Oryctolagus cuniculus: one gene and its partners. The protein of the gene in region 1 purifies or fractionates together with the protein of each later gene. This does not show direct contact. Links are inferred from orthologs where the notes say so. Each region holds a gene or a part of one and is shown on either strand. Other genes may lie near its edges. The genes, in order: LGALS1, ITGA4, EGFR and FN1.

Evidence for each region.
Region 2: the proteins of LGALS1 (region 1) and ITGA4 purify together in Homo sapiens (affinity purification with mass spectrometry; 3 studies listed by BioGRID and IntAct, with this or other methods). This does not show direct contact. The link is inferred for Oryctolagus cuniculus from reciprocal best matches to the Homo sapiens genes LGALS1 and ITGA4.
Region 3: the proteins of LGALS1 (region 1) and EGFR purify together in Homo sapiens (affinity purification with mass spectrometry; 3 studies listed by BioGRID and IntAct, with this or other methods). This does not show direct contact. The link is inferred for Oryctolagus cuniculus from reciprocal best matches to the Homo sapiens genes LGALS1 and EGFR.
Region 4: the proteins of LGALS1 (region 1) and FN1 purify together in Homo sapiens (affinity purification with mass spectrometry; 3 studies listed by BioGRID and IntAct, with this or other methods). This does not show direct contact. The link is inferred for Oryctolagus cuniculus from reciprocal best matches to the Homo sapiens genes LGALS1 and FN1.

Annotation. Positions count from the first base shown.
Region 1 is NC_091442.1:114,555,563-114,559,806, reverse strand, and holds the start of LGALS1 (galectin-1), read right to left. Parts: upstream 2,857-4,244; 5' UTR 2,572-2,856; coding exon 2,566-2,571; intron 1,396-2,565; coding exon 1,316-1,395; intron 1-1,315. UniProt on the Homo sapiens protein: Lectin that binds beta-galactoside and a wide array of complex carbohydrates. Plays a role in regulating apoptosis, cell proliferation and cell differentiation. Inhibits CD45 protein phosphatase activity and therefore the dephosphorylation of Lyn kinase.
Region 2 is NC_091434.1:59,370,049-59,374,395, forward strand, and holds the start of ITGA4 (integrin alpha-4), read right to left. Parts: upstream 2,803-4,347; 5' UTR 2,499-2,802; coding exon 2,302-2,498; intron 2,011-2,301; coding exon 1,889-2,010; intron 1-1,888. UniProt on the Homo sapiens protein: Integrins alpha-4/beta-1 (VLA-4) and alpha-4/beta-7 are receptors for fibronectin. They recognize one or more domains within the alternatively spliced CS-1 and CS-5 regions of fibronectin. They are also receptors for VCAM1.
Region 3 is NC_091447.1:57,745,618-57,749,962, reverse strand, and holds the start of EGFR (epidermal growth factor receptor), read right to left. Parts: upstream 2,830-4,345; 5' UTR 2,636-2,829; coding exon 2,548-2,635; intron 1-2,547. UniProt on the Homo sapiens protein: Receptor tyrosine kinase binding ligands of the EGF family and activating several signaling cascades to convert extracellular cues into appropriate cellular responses.
Region 4 is NC_091434.1:23,977,968-23,981,348, forward strand, and holds the end of FN1 (fibronectin), read left to right. Parts: intron 1-1,605; coding exon 1,606-1,716; intron 1,717-2,070; coding exon 2,071-2,142; 3' UTR 2,143-2,832; downstream 2,833-3,381. UniProt on the Homo sapiens protein: Fibronectins bind cell surfaces and various compounds including collagen, fibrin, heparin, DNA, and actin. Fibronectins are involved in cell adhesion, cell motility, opsonization, wound healing, and maintenance of cell shape.

The DNA of each region.
Region 1 (4,244 bases):
ACACTCAGAAAACTGACCTTTTTTTTTTTTTTTTAAGATATTTATTTGAAAGAGTTACAGAGAGAGAGGGAGACACACACACACAGAGGTATCTTCCATCCAATTATTAACTCCCCACATGGCCGCAATGGCTGGGGCCAGGAGCCAGGAGCTTTTTCTGGGTCTCTCATATGGGCGGCAGGGCCCCAAGCACTTGGGCCATCCTCCACTGCTTTCCCAGTCCATTAGCAGGGAGCCAGATCGGAAGTGGAGCAGCTGGGACTCGAACCAGTGCCCATACGGGATGCCAGGGCCGCAGCCGATGGCTTCACCCACTGCTTCACAACTCTGGCCCCTGTCTTAAGGCCTTGAAAAAAAAACTACTTATTTATTTGCAAGCCAGAGTTACAGAGAGATCTTCCATCCACTGGTTTACTCCCCAAGTGGCTGCAATAGCCCGGGCTTGGCCAGGCCAAAGCCAGGAACTCCATCCTGCGTGGCAGGGGCCCAGGTACTTTTGACCATCCTCCGCTGCTTTGCCAGGTGCATTAGCAGGGCACGGGATCAGAAGTGGAGAAGTCAGGACCCGAACCGGCGCTCATATGGGGCGCTGGCATCACGGGCGGTGGCTCCACCCACTGCGCCACAGTGCCTGCCCCATCTCTTAGAGCCTTGCGGGGCTGAAAGCTCACGACTCCTGCAGACACTGTGTCCTAGCCCCTCCAGAAGGTTCCTGTCTGTCACCCCTGGCGCCCAGCACAGAGCGCCACACAGCAGCAGAGAATCACTGGGACAAATGGACGCATGATGCTGCCCCACCTCTGCACGCTGGGCAAGAACCAGAGGCGACTCACACCGGAGGCTCCCGACAGCATCTGCACTCACTTCCTCCTCACTCCGCACCTCCCCCACTCATCTTACTGATGGACCGAGGCTCAGGGCGGAAGATGGCTCACGGGTCCAGGGTCACACGGCGTGCGGCAAGAGAAGACAGAAGCATCGGCCAGCCACCGCAGGAAGGAGGGCCCTCTGGGAGGCCGGAGGGGACGCCCCCTCATCCCCTCTCCCCGCCCCCACGCTGGCTGCGGGGTGGGGAGAAGGGGGCGGGGCCTGGCGGGAGGTCTGCAGCTGTTTTAATTTAAGAGACTCGGGGAGAATGGTGGAGGGGCCAGACCCAGCGGAGGAAGTGACTCACTCAGCAGCTGCCTGTTAACCCGCTCCCTGCCAGGAGGAGCCGAAGCTCTGGCCGGCCACGCCCAAACCCGGTACCCGCCCAGACGGGACCCTCAGCTCAGAGCCCTGCACCTGCTGCCCGCCGCCCTCCTCCGAGCCTCACCGACTGGCGCTGGGGGCCACCTCGCCACGCACCAGGAGGCTCTGCCCAGGCTGGAGTTTCAGGTTGTTGGCCACCAGACCCTGCGGAGACAAGAAGCCGCCCTGACACGTTAGGGGCCGTGGCCTCTGCTGCCGTGGTAGGGGGCGTGAGGGTGGTCCTTCCCAGCTTGATTTCTCTGAGCAGACCAGCACGAAGCCTGGGGGGTGGGGCAGAGCAGTGAGTTCTGGCCCCTGAGTCTCCCTGTGGACCTGGGAAAGACCCCATCCCCTGCCTGATCTGCTTGCATCTGTACCCAGATGCTGCTTGGGGATTTGGGGTTACAAGGGGTCTGGGAGGTAGGGTGCTATGCTCTGTACCCCATTTAGAAGGTGGAGAGGAGCGGGGTCCTGGTGGGGTAGGTCCCGCTGAATGTAGAGGGAGTGGCCTGAGGCTGCAGCAGCGACCCCCACCCTCTCCAGCCCCTGTCTGCAGAGGCATGGTGGCCACAGAGGCGCGGCCAGGGCCCTGTGCAGGAGGGACAGCAGCCAAGGCCGGGGCTGCAGCCAGGCCGGCTCAGGGTTAACACGGCCGAGCCACTGCGGGCAGCCGGGCACTGGCGCGGGGGGCAGGAGGGCGGGAGTTAACTGATGTGAGTGGTTCCTTCTGCCAGCAATCAGAACCCTTTCCCTGGGGGCCTGGGAAAGCTTCTGCCTCCTCCCCACCTCGGCCTCCAAGCTCGGGGTGACGTGGGGGCCCCCCCAGCCTCCACCTGACCAGGCTGGGCAGGACCACCCACCCCCCTCACCCAGGGAAGGCCCCAGCCGGGCAGCCTCTCTTAGGTCCCGGCCACTCTGTAGAAGTCTCTGGAGCAGAGGAGGATTCTGAGCTGGTCGGGTGACTGGGGACAGCTGCAGGGGGGAGGGGAAGGAGGCTCTTTGCGGTGGAAGAGAGGAACAGTGGCCTGGGCCTCACCAGTCTACCCCCCACCCCCTGCCCTGGCCCCGGCCACACCCTTCCCACTCCCACTTCATAGAGAACTACAGAAAGTCAGACTTGGCAGGAAGAACTGTCAGACCTTGAAAGGATCCAGAATATTCTTAAGCCAGAGAAGGCCTTGGGGGACCATGGTCCCCACCCCCATTTTATAGATGTGATCACTGAGGCCCAGAAAAGAGAAGGCAGTCCTCCAAGGCCACAGAGCTGGGACCAGAGCCCAGCCCCCGCTCCGCTACACTCTCCCCTGGACTTTGGGAGGAGGGCCCCACACTCACAGCCATGATTGAAGCGGGACGATGGGTGATCCCAAGACTGCAGCACCGGCTGTCCGGAAGGCCCCGCCCGAGAGATGGCTCCTGATGGCTCTCACCCTTTTTTAAGTGACCCGGACCCTGGTCTGAGTCCCGCCCCCTGGCAGCTCAGCCAATTGTAAGTCAGAACAGGGGTAGGGGTGGAGTCCATGGAATTTTGAAGCCAGTTCTGGAGCAAAGGGTACCAATCAGAGCGGGGAACTCCCTTTTTAGCCACGCCCCTGGGGCCCAAGCTCCACCTCCTATTCTGCCTCCAGCCCCGCCCTAATCTCCCCAAATTTGTGCTGTGGCAGAGACTGGGGGAAGCCAATGGAAAATAGTTGAGCTGGGCCCAAGAGCTGATGGGACGGGGGCCTGGGGCCAGCAGGCAGAGCCCAGCGCGTGTCTGGAGAAGGCAGGGGCGGGAGGGAGGGCGTGTGCAGGGGGCTCCAGGGAGTCAGCGCTGGGCTGGGGTGGGGGCTGCTCCCAGGCAGGGTCAGGGCGTGGCTCTGGCTGTGGGCACTGCAGAGGGATGGGGACCCAGGACCACAAGGCCCGGGCCCCCCCACAAGTGGGGCTGTGCTCTTCTCTGAGTCTAAAAAAAGCCTGGGCGGGGTGCCAGGCCCCAGCCTGCCAGCCGGTGCTCCTGCCTCGGTGCTTCTGGGAGGTGCGCGGCCGGACAGCTCTGCCTGAGGGTGCCCGGCCTGGGGAGCAGCCCGGTGGGCCCGGCCGTGAGGGGTTGGGGCCCCTGCTCTGGGCACCCAGTCTGCTCTCTTCACTCCCCCCTTTGCCCGTGCATTCAGCAGCTATTCTGCGCTGTAGCTCCCACATGCCTGGCCCTGGGCTGGCCTCAGGACCTCCGGAGACGACTCCCTCACTGTCCCTGTTCCCAAGGAGCCCACGGTTGGGGGACACCAACCGGGAACCTGATTAAGAAGCGGCACCGGGCCGGCACCGCAGCTCAACAGGCTAATCCTCCGCCTTGCGGCGCCGGCACACCGGGTTCTAGTCCCGGTCAGGGCGCCGGATTCTGTCCCGGTTGCCCCTCTTCCAGGCCAGCTCTCTGCTGTGGCCCGGGAGTGCAGTGGAGGATGGCCCAGGTGCTTGGGCCCTGCACCCTATGGGAGACCAGGAGAGGCACCTGGCTCCTGCCATTGGATCAGCGCGGTGCGCCGGCTGCGGCGGCCATTGGAGGGTGAACCAACGGCAAAGGAAGACCTTTCTCTCTGTCTCTCTCTCTCTCTCACTGTCCACTCTGCCTGTCAAAAAGAAAAAAAAAAAAAGAAGAAGAAGAAGAAGCGGCACAGTCACAGCAAGCCCTGTGGTGGGATGGAGACGCCGCAGGCCGTGGAGAAGGTGGGTCTCTGCAGGTGCGCAGGAGCTCAGGAATGAGAGCGCAGGGGTGGGAGCAGCAGTGGGCACGTGGCCCTGCAGGGGGAGGCTTGGGGGACTAGGCCGGGAATCCAGATTGTACAGGCTTCACAGGCCAGAGGAAGGGCTTGGACACAGTCCAAGGTGCCGGGCAGCCACAGAAGGTTCTAGAATAGTGAGTGCTGAGGCCCGACTGGGGCTGCAGAGATCCCTGTAGCAGCAGAGGCGAGGCTGGTGGGAGGGCGCTCCTCTCACATCAGGAGGCAGGTGCACAGAGGGCAGGGAGCGCTGGG
Region 2 (4,347 bases), on another chromosome or scaffold:
AAAGAATTTAGGTCTTCCTTTCATTTATTATAGGCATTATTATCTTGAATTTTATATAATACTACAACCATATCGTTCTAGTTCAACATAGACATCCAGAAATAGGATCAACGTCCTTCCAGACAGGAAGTAGGTTATACTATCATGGATCAGGAAACTGGCAGGACATCAGAAATGAAATTGTTCCCTCCTGAGACCTTGTCACCACTCTCTAGCAGATCAAGGTTGACCTAACAATGTTTTATGAATCCTCAGTCTACCTTTTGGGATGGGAGATGCTGAACAAGAAGGCGGGGCTTGTTCTATGTGCTGCAGACAACTCCTGGATTTTGGTGGGTGCTGAGTGCAAAATAAAAATTCTGCTATGGGCATTTGCATTAGTGATTAGTACACCAGTTAAGATGCCCACATCCCATATCAGAGCACTTGGGTTCGCTGATCAGGTGATGGCTCAAGTGGCTGGGTTCCAGACAACCATGTGGGAGATGTGGATTGAGTTCCTGGCCCCTGGATTTTGTTGTGGGCATCTGAGGAGGAAACCAATGGATAGGGGGTCTCTCTCTCTCTCTCTCTCTCTCTCTTTCTCCCCTCCCTCAAATAGACAAGAAATTAAACATCCCATTATATGTACTCTACATGAATTCATTTGAATGAAATAAACCAGCTTCACTGTTTGAGAAGAAACAAAAACTACACGAAGATGAAAATGGGGTTACACAGATGCAATCACTAGCTAATCCCTAGTCATTTATCGCAAAGAAAGATGAACGAAAAGTGCCAATTGTGACCTTTTGGTTTACCATGTACAGATGATGTATTAGCTCAGGAGACCACATACTAGACCCTCTATTTAACTTTATTTGCATTGAACATGCATACACAACAGGGGTTAGACTCTGGACCCAAGCATACCTGACTGACCAGTAATAACGGGGTCCCAGCTACCAGTCAGTATCTAAGTAACTCCAGAAAACATATTTGCAACTGTCTGAGTCAGAGTCCTCAAAAAGAAAAGTAGGAACAATGTCAACCATCACCCAGGGGTGCTTTTTGAGAAAAAAAAAAATTAAGCAATGTATATAGCAGTGCCTGACAGTGTTTGAAACAAGATAGGTCAACATTAGTATTAGTTCCCCTTTCTCCCCCAGAGTGCCTGTAAGCAGCAAATTTGCTTTTGTCTTTGAACATGAAACTTCTCCCTTCCCCCAACAGTACATATGTTTCGTGTTGTCACAAACCTACAAACAGGCATTAAGAGATGACCGCAGAAAGATCCATTTAAAGCAGAGTTTTTGGCAAGGAAAACTAGTAAGTATAGTTTAAGCCTCGTGTTAACTATCAACGATGGAGATGCCCATGTTTTTCCTTGTACACTTATTTTGCATTGTATATTCTAAGAAAAACTACATTACTTTCTTTTCTGTTCTCTCTCTTTTTTTTTAAGTCCTTAGGTTAAACGACAGGCAACTGCTACTCCTGATCTGTCCGTTAGCCTGTTCTTTAATAAAGTTGATAGGTCAAAGCTGGAAATAAAACGTTTAAGTCTTGACCTGGCTGAATCCTGTTCTTAATATGCTGAGACTTTGAAATGTGTTTTTGCACAAGGTGGGGGCGGGGGGTAAAAAGTAGGCATCACAAGGAAAGGTCCTCTGTGTAACCGTGCCACAGTACTGCAATCAATGTCACCAGCGAAAGAGAAAGATACAGGTAGAAAGAAGGGGGCCGCTTTTATAATAGACAAGAAGACAGTGTGGCATTAACTCTGCGAATCATGCACCTTAACGCAGAAGGAATAGGCAACAGGGCTTTTTCCAGGACTTGCCCTACAGTACAGTCCTCAAGGCTGGGGGGTGCAGGACGGTGACTTCTGTTCCCAGATCCAACTCACCCAGCTGGAGCTGTTCGCACGTCTGGCCCGGATTCTGTCCGATCCTGCATCTGTAAATCGCCCCAGGACTGACCACTGAAGCGTTGGCGAGCCAGTTGGCAGTGGGCGCCCCCACTATGAGCCTAGAGAGAGAAACGTGCGCTCAGACGTGAGCGGTGCTGCCCGCTGAGCTCCAGGTCTCAGCAGGCATGGGGCAGCCTCCCCCACCCCCTCCTCTGCGCACCACCCGCGCACTGCGCCGGCCACCCCTACTCCCCGGCGCTGTCCCCCAGAATCAGTATGCTTCCCGGGCAGATCTCTAGCAAACTGGCTGTATCGCATTTCCCCACCGCCTACGCCCCCGGAGGGGAGGAAAGTTCCAACCCGACCGGGATCTCACGTCGCCCTGAGATGCCCGTGGCAGCGCCACTCACCATCGATTCGACCCGTGGCTGTGCAGCGCGACAGAGTAGCCGAACAGCGTGCCCGGGGGGCCCTGGTAGAGCAGCGCGCTCTCGGTGTCGAGGTTGTAGGGGCGCCCGGTCGGGATCCCCAGGCACAGCAACAGCATCACCGCCTCCCGGACGGCGGCCCCTCGGGAGCCAGATCCACGCCTCGCTTCCCCAGCCATGCGCTCTCGGTGGGGAACATTCAACACCAAACGGCCGCTCACCCAAAGTTGCTCGGGACGCGACGGTTGGCCAGGGGTTAGAGCGCCCCAAGAGAGGAGGCGCAGCGTGTCCGGCGCCGGCTGGCGGGAGGGAAAGAAGGAGGGACAGCCCCAGGGAGGGAGGGGAAGTCGCCAGCCGCGGGCGGGGCGATAGCCTTCGGCCCGGGTTGCCGCGCCCGCGCCGGGCCCCACGCCCCGATCCTGCGGCCTGGAGGTGCCGGCGCTCACTCGGCCCCGGGGCGCGGGCGGCTAGGTGGGGTCTTGGGCGTGGTGCAGAGGCGCGGGCCGGGCTCCGGCTCCCCCCACGAGCGGCTGTAGGGGGCGCTGGGGGACCTCGGCTACGCAGGACGCGCGTCCCTGCCTGGGCCTCCCAGCCCAACGAGGGCGGAAGGGTTCGGGAATCCGGGGCTTAGCAAGAGTGGACCTGGAGGGAGCAAGGGGTTTCCCCTTTCAACCGTGGCTAGGGCCTGGATGCACTCGGGGCGTCGTGGCTACTGCCCGCGCACGCCCCACTGGCAAACGCCGGGTCTCTGCGGTCCGCCCTAGCCCCGGGGACCGGCGCTGCGGCGGGAAACCGTGTAGTCTTTTGGCGGATTGGTTAAACGCAGTATCTGAATTTGGGGGCTTAAGCAACCACCAGAAACATTGACCAGAGGATCACAAATTTAAAAACAAAGAGCGAAAAAAGAACTCCCTCTGACGGCGCCCGGGGAACGTTCTGGTGACAAAGACGCTGCGACTATTCGCTTCATGACTCGCAGCCCTGCACCCTTCTATGCCCACTTCCTTCCTCCCCGCACTTCCTCTTAAGTCCCGGCTGCACGCGTGAGCGAGCAAGAAGCAGGCGCCCCCGGCGGGATGGCAGCCACGCAGGCTGCCGATGACCCCTGCAGCGAGTCTGGGCTAGGAAAGCACCGGGACCCGCCCCGCTGGAGCGGTTTTCTCTTCCGGCTTGTTGGTGAGACCCCGGCCTCGCCTATCCTCAGAGGTGTGAGGTCAAGGTCAACATGGTCCTGGAAAAATGTGCTGGAGAACCACAATGCAAGATTTGGACTGGGCCATGTTCTCATCCTAAAGCAATTCAGTTTCTTTGTTTTAAATTTTTATTTAGTTAGTTATCTTTATGAAAGACAGAGAGAAAGTGAATCAGATCTCCCATCCTTGGCTCACTCCCCAAATGCTTGCAACTACTCAATCCTGGTCTCGCGCGTGGGTAGCAGAAACTGGAGCATTTGGGCTATCACTACTGCTCTCAGGGTGCACAGTAGCAGGACCCTGGAATGGGGACCCCAGCCACCAAAGTCACACACTCCTGTATGAGATGCCATCTTAGCCACTGTGCCAAACGCTCATCCTGGTCTCTTTCTTGCGCAGTCAGTGACAGTCATAAATAGTTATTTGTAGATGTTGGTACATTTATTACTGCTACTTGAAAATATAAAAGAAAGAAGAACAAGGCTTCATCATGTAGTCTATGTGCATACAACTCCACTGAAATGGCACATGTTAAGTTGCAGACACATAATGAAGATATTTGTTCACCGATCCAGCACATTCACTGAGTAGGCACCTTGCTAGGCCCAAAGGATGCCACCAGGAACAGGGCAGGACTGAAAACAAGTCCTCAGGAAAGTTTTCAGTCAAATGATAGATGACAAACTTACTAACTAGAGACAAGTCCAGAGACGTTAGGGACATTTCAGGAGAGATTTGAGGGACAAGGAGCGTGCAGGGAGGTTCAGCAGTTTGAGAGTTTAATCAGGAGGGTCTCCAACAGGGCCAGGTGAAGGAACTGAGAGAGGTTGCCTGG
Region 3 (4,345 bases), on another chromosome or scaffold:
GAACCAAGCGCAACCATGCAGCACAATGGATTTTGGCAGCTGGCTTCTTCAAACACCAGAGAAAGGTTTGTGAAAAACGATGGATTATGAAACCAAATGCATGAAGCCAGAAATGACTGTTCAGAGCCGGCTGGAGCTATCACCAGGTTTCTGCCTGTCTGTGCGATAGACAAGACTCTGAAAGAGTAAAAAGGAAATTTACTAGTATTTAGCGACTTGCAGAATCCCATTTCCAGTAGCTGTCATAACTCTCCTCCCTTTTAACTCATGATACCAGGCACGCACAGTGAATACTGAATTCACAAATACTGAACTCAGAAAGGGGATCGAGAAGCTTGGCGCTTGGATGTGACCTGTTCACCTCCACCCGCAGCTGGAGTGAGAAGACAAGGCCGGCTGCCAGGCCAGCCGGGGCATCCCATCCTTCGTCTTGGATTCCCTACCACCTCTGCTTTGGTTTCTCTTTAACACGGCCCAGGCCCACTGAACCAGGGGTGGCCAGGCTCATCCCCACAAGAAGCTTGTGGCTGAGAATTCCTGAGCTCCTGGGAACACCCCAGGACCTCCTCCTCAGCAGTGCCTTCCCTGGAGCGAGGATCCAGGCCTTGTTCAACTCCCCTAGCAAGCTTGGCTCAGGGATTTGGTGACAGAGCTGTCCCCACCAGGCTGAGGAACCCTGAGGAGAGCAGACCACTGGTTAGCAGGGTGTGTTTGCAGCCTCAGGAGGGGAGCCCAACTTGATGAGCCGTTCCTGGTACTTTTCCTCTGTGCTGCAAGTGAGGTGAGTCAGCCGCGTACACCTGACCTGGCTCCCCACACCTGGGCTGCAGAAGGCAGTGGCGTCTCAGCCCTGACCCTGCCTCTTGTGAGCGGTGGGGAAATCGATCTTCTCCTGCAGGGCGGGAAAATGAGGAAGGAGGTGAGGACGCAGGAGCCAGGTCTGGTTGTTAGATCTGAGGGCAGCCAATACCGGTTTCCTAGCTGAGACCCAAAAAACCCTCACCAATTCTCCTGGAATGGAATTGGCACGTGATTGACATGGGTCCTTAACAACTTCTATAGGAAGATTATGCCTCGCAGTTTTAGTAATTAGATCCTCGCCAGTCTCTCTGCCTCATGTTAACGGAGCGTGCGCGCCCTTTCTCACCACAGCACTGGCGAACACAGGGCAAACAAGAAACAAATCTCCCACCACGGCGGCAGCGGGGAGGCAGCCCCACTTAGGAGCTGGGCGCACTTCTGGGGTGAGAAGGCACTGAGCACTCGGTGTACCGGAGCCGCGCACCGGGGGCCTCAGAGCCCCCTTGGCCAAGCCCTGCCTTCGCGGCGCTCTGCGAGAGCTGCGCAGATTGGGGGAAGCTCCACGGCTAGCGGGTGAGCCTTCTGGACACTTCGCCCTTCTTTCCTCCACGCCAGGACTCGCAAGCCTGCCCGAGCTGTTAAAACCCAAGGCCGGCTCTCACCCCACACCAATTAAATCGGGGTATCCGTGAGCGGGAGCCGGACGTGGTCCTCGCTTCCTCTCCCCCGCCTCAACCTCCCCTCGCCCTCTCCCCTCTTTTCCAGTTCGTTGTTTATTACTATTTTCGTTTTTCAGTCCCAGGTGATTCCCACCTGCAGCGAAGTTTGGGGCCGCCGCAGCACCCCTGGCCCGCAGACGCGCCCGGCGCCAGAGCCCAGACCCGAGGCCGATGACATCAACGGCAAGCAGGGACCTGACTCTCTCGGAAGCCGGCCCAGCCGGGGATTGTGCAACGCGGCCTCCCGCGGCGGGCGTCTCGCGGCGAGGCCCACTCCGCGGGGCCTTCGCGCACGTGGGGCCCGGACCGCATCCTTTCCTGGTTTTGATACAGTTTAATATTTTGGTTGGCCCAATATCAAACTTTTCAGAAAGCAAAAGGAAACGCCAAAAAGGAGAAAATCTTGGGACTTTGAGAAAACCGTGGGGGACGCGCAGGGCGGGCTCGGAGCCGAGACCCGCCGCCCAGCCAGTCCTGCGGAGCAAGCACGCAGGTGGGGGCCGGGTTCGCCGCGCCGCCAAGCACCTGGCCCGGCCGCACCCGGCCGCTCGGCGCGGGGCGGGGACTGCGCGCCAGGGGCGTGCCGGACAGGACCCCAGCCCCAGTTCCCCGCGCCGTCCCGGCCCAGCAGCCTCGCGTGGTGGGCGACAGGAGTCCTCCAGCCCCCGCTCCGGCCGCAGCCCCTCACGCGGGAAGGGCTCGCGGGGCCTCTGGTTGCAGCCCGGGACCGGGTGGGGCCGGCGCGGGGAGGGTGCGCTCGGGAAGCGCCAGTCCCGGAAGGTGCGCGCAGCTCCCGGATCCAACCTAAACTCCCAGGGCCGCGGGTGGGACGCACCGCCCATGGGTGCGCGGACTGCGCGGGGCGCACGTGCCGGGTATGGAGCAGCTTGGGCAGCGCTCGGCGCCGGAGCTCCCCTGGTGCGACTCGCGCAGCCCAGGAGCTAGACGTCCAGAGCGGTTTCAGCCCGAGGGTCCTCACGGAAGTCGGGAAGACCGCGGCGCGGTGTGGTGCGGGTCGCGCCCTTACCTCTCTTCTCCTCCAGCGCCTGTCCCGCCTGCAGGAGCGCGGCCAGCAGCGCCAGGAGCGCGGGCCCGACCGGCCCCGAGGGTCGCATCGCTGCCGCTGCGCGCTCAACTGTGCGGTCGGTTCGGAAGGGCGTCGGGCTCCGTGCGCGGGGCAGACGCGGGCGCCTGAGTCCCGCCTGGGTCCGGCCTGGGACGCCCGCGCCTGGCCTCGGGGACTCCGGGCGGCGGGTGAGGAGCGGCTGCCGCGCTGCGCCGAGCTGCCCAGACGTCTGCCGGGCGGCGGGCGTGGGGAGGCGGCGGGAGGAGGGCCCAGCGGAGGAGGAGGGGTCGGAGGCGCGGAGGAGGAGGAGAATGCGAGCGGGAGGAAGAGCGGCGAGCGGAGGCGTGGACGCCGCGGCCCCGCGGGACCTGGCGCCGGGAGCGAGTTCCCGAGAGGGGCGTTCCGCGCGCCGCGACCCCAGGCCGGGTCGGTTCCCAGCGCGGGGCGCAGCCGGGCCTGGTCCCCTCACCGGCCCCTTCTGTAGACGGAGCCACCTGGAGCAGGCTCCGGACAAACCGGCTGAGCCCGAGGGCCGAGGTGGGTGACCACGCAGAGGGGCCGCTGGGGCCCCGGGGCAAGAGTCCCCAGCAGAGCCAGACCCAGACGGGCGGCTGGGGCCCCTAGGGGCCCCCTGAGCGCCCTCGAAGTCGTTGGGAACGAGCGCGCTCGGCTCCCCGCTGGGAGAGCGGCTTTCCTTTGCGTTCCTTGAGTGAATGCGTGAGGTCCCGGTGCGCCCACGGCCTCCACTGTGCCAGGGACTGGCTCCGGGAGCGAGGGCCGAGGATGTCGGTCGCGCACAGCACCGCAGACGCCAGCAAGAGTCACTGAGGATTTGGCCACAGGAAGTGGAGCTTCCTGGAGCTGCGGGGACTTTCTCTGAACCCTTGGGCCGAGGGCACCCCGCCTCGGCTCCAGGGCTTCTTCAGCGCTTCCCTGCTCTGCGGGTTTGCGCCCCGCCCGGCCGCGGGAAAGGTGGGGTTTGCGGGGAACCAGAGTGAGCGGCTGGCTTGTTCTTTGTTCTGAGGAATCGCGGCTGCCCCGGGTGAGCAAGGCTGTGAAGTCCACAGCCAGCCGTGTGTTTGGTTCCCAGCCCACATTCCAAACCAGAAGACTTAGAGCAGGCTGCAAAGAAACGCAAATACAAAAGCTAGAGACAAAAGCTAGAAGAGGAGCCAGGAAACAGAAGGGCACCCGTGATCCTGCGTTCCGCTACAGGAGCCACGGACGAACCCTAGGCACACTCGCTGCCCGCCAGGATGATTGGTGGCACAAATCGTGGTGTCCATGTGACCCTCGACTGACTTTTAAAAGTGCAGCGATTTATCCTGAGTACCCCAAAAAAAGACAAAGTGTGAGACCTTCTGGGCCCCCACCACATTCCTCCGTGGTGCTGGGGAGAGCTCTTCCAGGAACGGTGGCAGAAGTCCGTGGAAACTCTGGCCAGGCTCGGGGCCCAGCACTGGGATAGAGTCCTGCACACAGGGAGGAATGGGTTTGCTAAAGTTCCTCCTGGGACGTCTCTGAGCTTTGATATAAAAAGTGACATCAGGTTGATTTTGAACGGCTTGCAGGTACTTGGAGTGTAGTGATAACTGACTTCAGGAAGGAGCTCCTCTTGAGAGCCCTGAGGGGCCTTGCACACAAGGTTCCAGGTGGCACCCCAGCCCCCACTGCAGGACCACGGCAGCCCACTCTGTGCAGAGTATGGATGCGATGTTGTTGATCCCTCAGTGCACGTGCCGGCTTACACGAGGCTAAA
Region 4 (3,381 bases), on another chromosome or scaffold:
CGACTCGTGTCACAAATATAAGTAATGGAATATAATAGCCCATTGTTTTCAATGAAGATTGCGCTCCCCCCATAGCTCCCCAAATTTTGATACTTGAGGACTTGCTCTAACCCCAGGGTAGGTTTCACTGGCAGATGCATTTGGCATTAACCAATTACAGGTACCCAAGATGGGAAAGAACATGATGGAAACATGATCTTTAGGAAGATTAATCTGCAGCAGGAAAGGGTCATTAGAGGCCTCTCCAGGTCCTAACAGAGGACCAGGAGCCGCCAATGGAAACTGCCTTGATCTCTTTACAATAATAGTTAAGTGAGGAGGAGGCTGGTCCCCACGGTGACGGAAAAGAAACTGTGGAGTCAGTTTTTCTCTCTCTCCCTCTCCCGATCTCTCTCATCAACACTTTTAAAGCCTGTGATCATTTTGGTATAACAGTGTGATGGAGACTGAATTTGTTTAGAAGTAGATTTTGATCTCACTTCAACATCTTCTCATTATTTATGCACAACAAACCTTTCATGTGTGACACCTAGTATCTTCTAAAAGAAAGTGCTAAATGAGACCCTTAAAACTAAAGTGCGAACTGTTACATTTTTAATTGAAAGCAAACTCCATTGATTTTCTAAGTAGGTATTTACCTGTTTTGTGTTAGGTATTAGGACAATATGTTGTTAAGTGGGGAAATAGTTCTCAGATATTTCAATGAAAATATAAGCAAGAAAGTGATTATAGTATTTAGAATTCTTTCCATGGAAAGAAAAATCTCACTCAACTTAGGCAGACATGGCTCGTGTAATGGGATGTTCTGGAATCTACCAACATCAAGGGGTTGCTCCAGGGATGGGCTCTAAGGCCTCTGCCTGCCTCTCCTTGCACTGGCTTCTTTCTCCAGTGTGCTCTCTGCTGATGGTGACACTGATGACCCCCAGCAGCTTCAGTTTTACCTCCTCCCATCTTCAGCAAAACTCTCAGGGCAGAGCCTCACTGGCCCAGTTACCATCCCTTCTCAGGCCAGATGCAGGGCTCACACCTCACTGGCCCAGGGAGGTTCAGGAGGGGAATGGCCATTTGTTGCAGGAGAAGGAGCATGGCTGGGGTTGCCTCAACTCCTGAGTGGCAGCCCCAGCTCTGCCCACCAGCCGCTGTGTGACTTCCTTCCTGCCTCGGAGCAAGTCACTGCTCTCCTCTGGGTCCCTATTTCCTTAGCTGTAATATGACAGTGTTTGTTACATGATCTCAGGATCCTTTCGAAAGCTCTCAGAGTTTTTGAAACCTCTTCCATCATCAAGCACCGAGAGCTTATTGAGGAAGTTGGGACACAAATGAGCCTTAGCCTATGTGTGAGGTTTCAATGGGGGGAGAAGAGAGGAGATTTGAGGAGGAAGGGAAAACATAAGTAGATAGTAGATAAGAGATATATTAACAAGCAAAAATATACTCTTAAGAGTTTTAAATACATGAGATCATCATCAAATTTCTTTAGTGATTAACTTCTTATATTTTGCCAATGCATAAAGCTAAAATTCTTCTTGAACTCAAGCACTAAATTACAATGTCCTTGGATTATCATAAATCCTATTTGACTTCATGCATCTACCTGCTCAGGGCTGGCGCTGTGACAACTGCCGCAGACCAGGGGTTGAACCCAGTCCTGACAGCTCTACCGGCCACTCCTACAACCAGTACACACAGAGATATCATCAGAGAACAAACACTGTAAGTGCATTTGTACCATATCTCTCCCCCACCCTAAGTAGGTACAAAATAGGGGATCTTTCTATAGGTACCTTCCTTCTGAATAAACCAAATGTTTTCCATTAAAAAAAAAACAACTCACAAGTGATAAGTACAATCCTGTATCCTAGAACATAATTTAACTTATAAATTATTAAGGCCTTGAACATCATGGGCCAGTGTAGTGAGCTAGGTTCCTTTTATTAGAAAGAAATACTATCCTATATGCTCATATAAGTAGCTGTCATAGGAGTCTCCCCTCCCTGCCTTCGTATTTTTTCTGCATATCTTACACTACTATTGCCATTAATGTTTCTTCTTCTTCCATTTGAACAGAATGTTAACTGCCCAATTGAGTGCTTCATGCCTCTAGACGTACAGGCTGACAGAGAAGATTCCAGGGAGTAACATTTCCACCCCAGAGGAAGAAACATGTCTCTGCAAAGGTCCATCCCAACTGGAGTGACGTTGGCAGACCCTGTCTTTGCGTGTTTGTTACTTTTTAAGCCTTTTGCTCTGGAGTAAGTGCTCCAGCCTCAGCTCAACTCACAGCTTCTCCAAGCATCATCCTGGGAGTGTTTTGAGACTTTTCTCATAAATGAGGGCAATATGTTGCCTGTTCTGCTTCAAATTATTCAATACCGCTCAGTATTTTAAATGAAATGATTGTGATTGATGATTTGGTTTGGGGTCAATAAGGAAGCATATATAACCAACCAAAATGCCAAATGTGTTGAAATGGTCTTAACAAAATTTTAAGTAGGAAAGTTACCCAAACACTTCTGCTTTCACAGAACTCTGGCCCGCAACACTGTAGGAACAGCCTATCCTTGTTACTGTGATATTTAAAATATCCACAGTACTCACTTTTCCCAAATGATTCTAGTAATTGCCTAGAAATATCTTTCTTTTACATGTTATTTATCAATTTTACCAGTATTTTTATATGGAAAAAAATTGAATTGAAGTCACTTAGTATGCAGTTGAAAAAAGGAATTTGGTATAATTATGGTTGGTAATTATTTTTTATACTGTATGTGCCAAAGCTTTACTACTGTGGAAAGACAACTGTTTTAATAAAAGATTTACATTCCACAATGTGAAAGTCATTCTATTTTATATAAGGTACTTGGGGGGAAATAATAATCCTTGAATTTTTTTTCAATTTAATTCAGCAAACACTTGAAAATTTATGATGTGCCAGGCTCTCTTATCTTTGATAGTGTTTATACAAGATTTACTCAGTCTGTCTCTACAAAATCACAGATTCATTTTTGTCATTTCTTCTCTTCAATAATGGAGATGGCTTTATATTTTATATTAAAACAGATTTAAGGGATGTCCTAGCCAGCTTTTCAGAAATACAGTTGATACACTCTTTCTGGGTTTTTTCTAACTTATAATTCTTCCTTCTCTCTTTTCTCTTTTCCTTCCTTCACTGAATAAACATCTGTCGCTCCCCCTCTTCGTGGAGGAACGGCACAGGACCCTGTGCTGTTCCTTCATCTGCTCGGCCCTCCCCGGGTTCGCTGCTGGCTCCTCCCGGGCCGGCTACTATCCCTTCCACCTCCGTGGAAGGGCAGTTCCCCCTGGCCACATTCCCCACTTCCGCAGGGGAGCGGCACACCGCCGGCCGGCTCTCTGGGG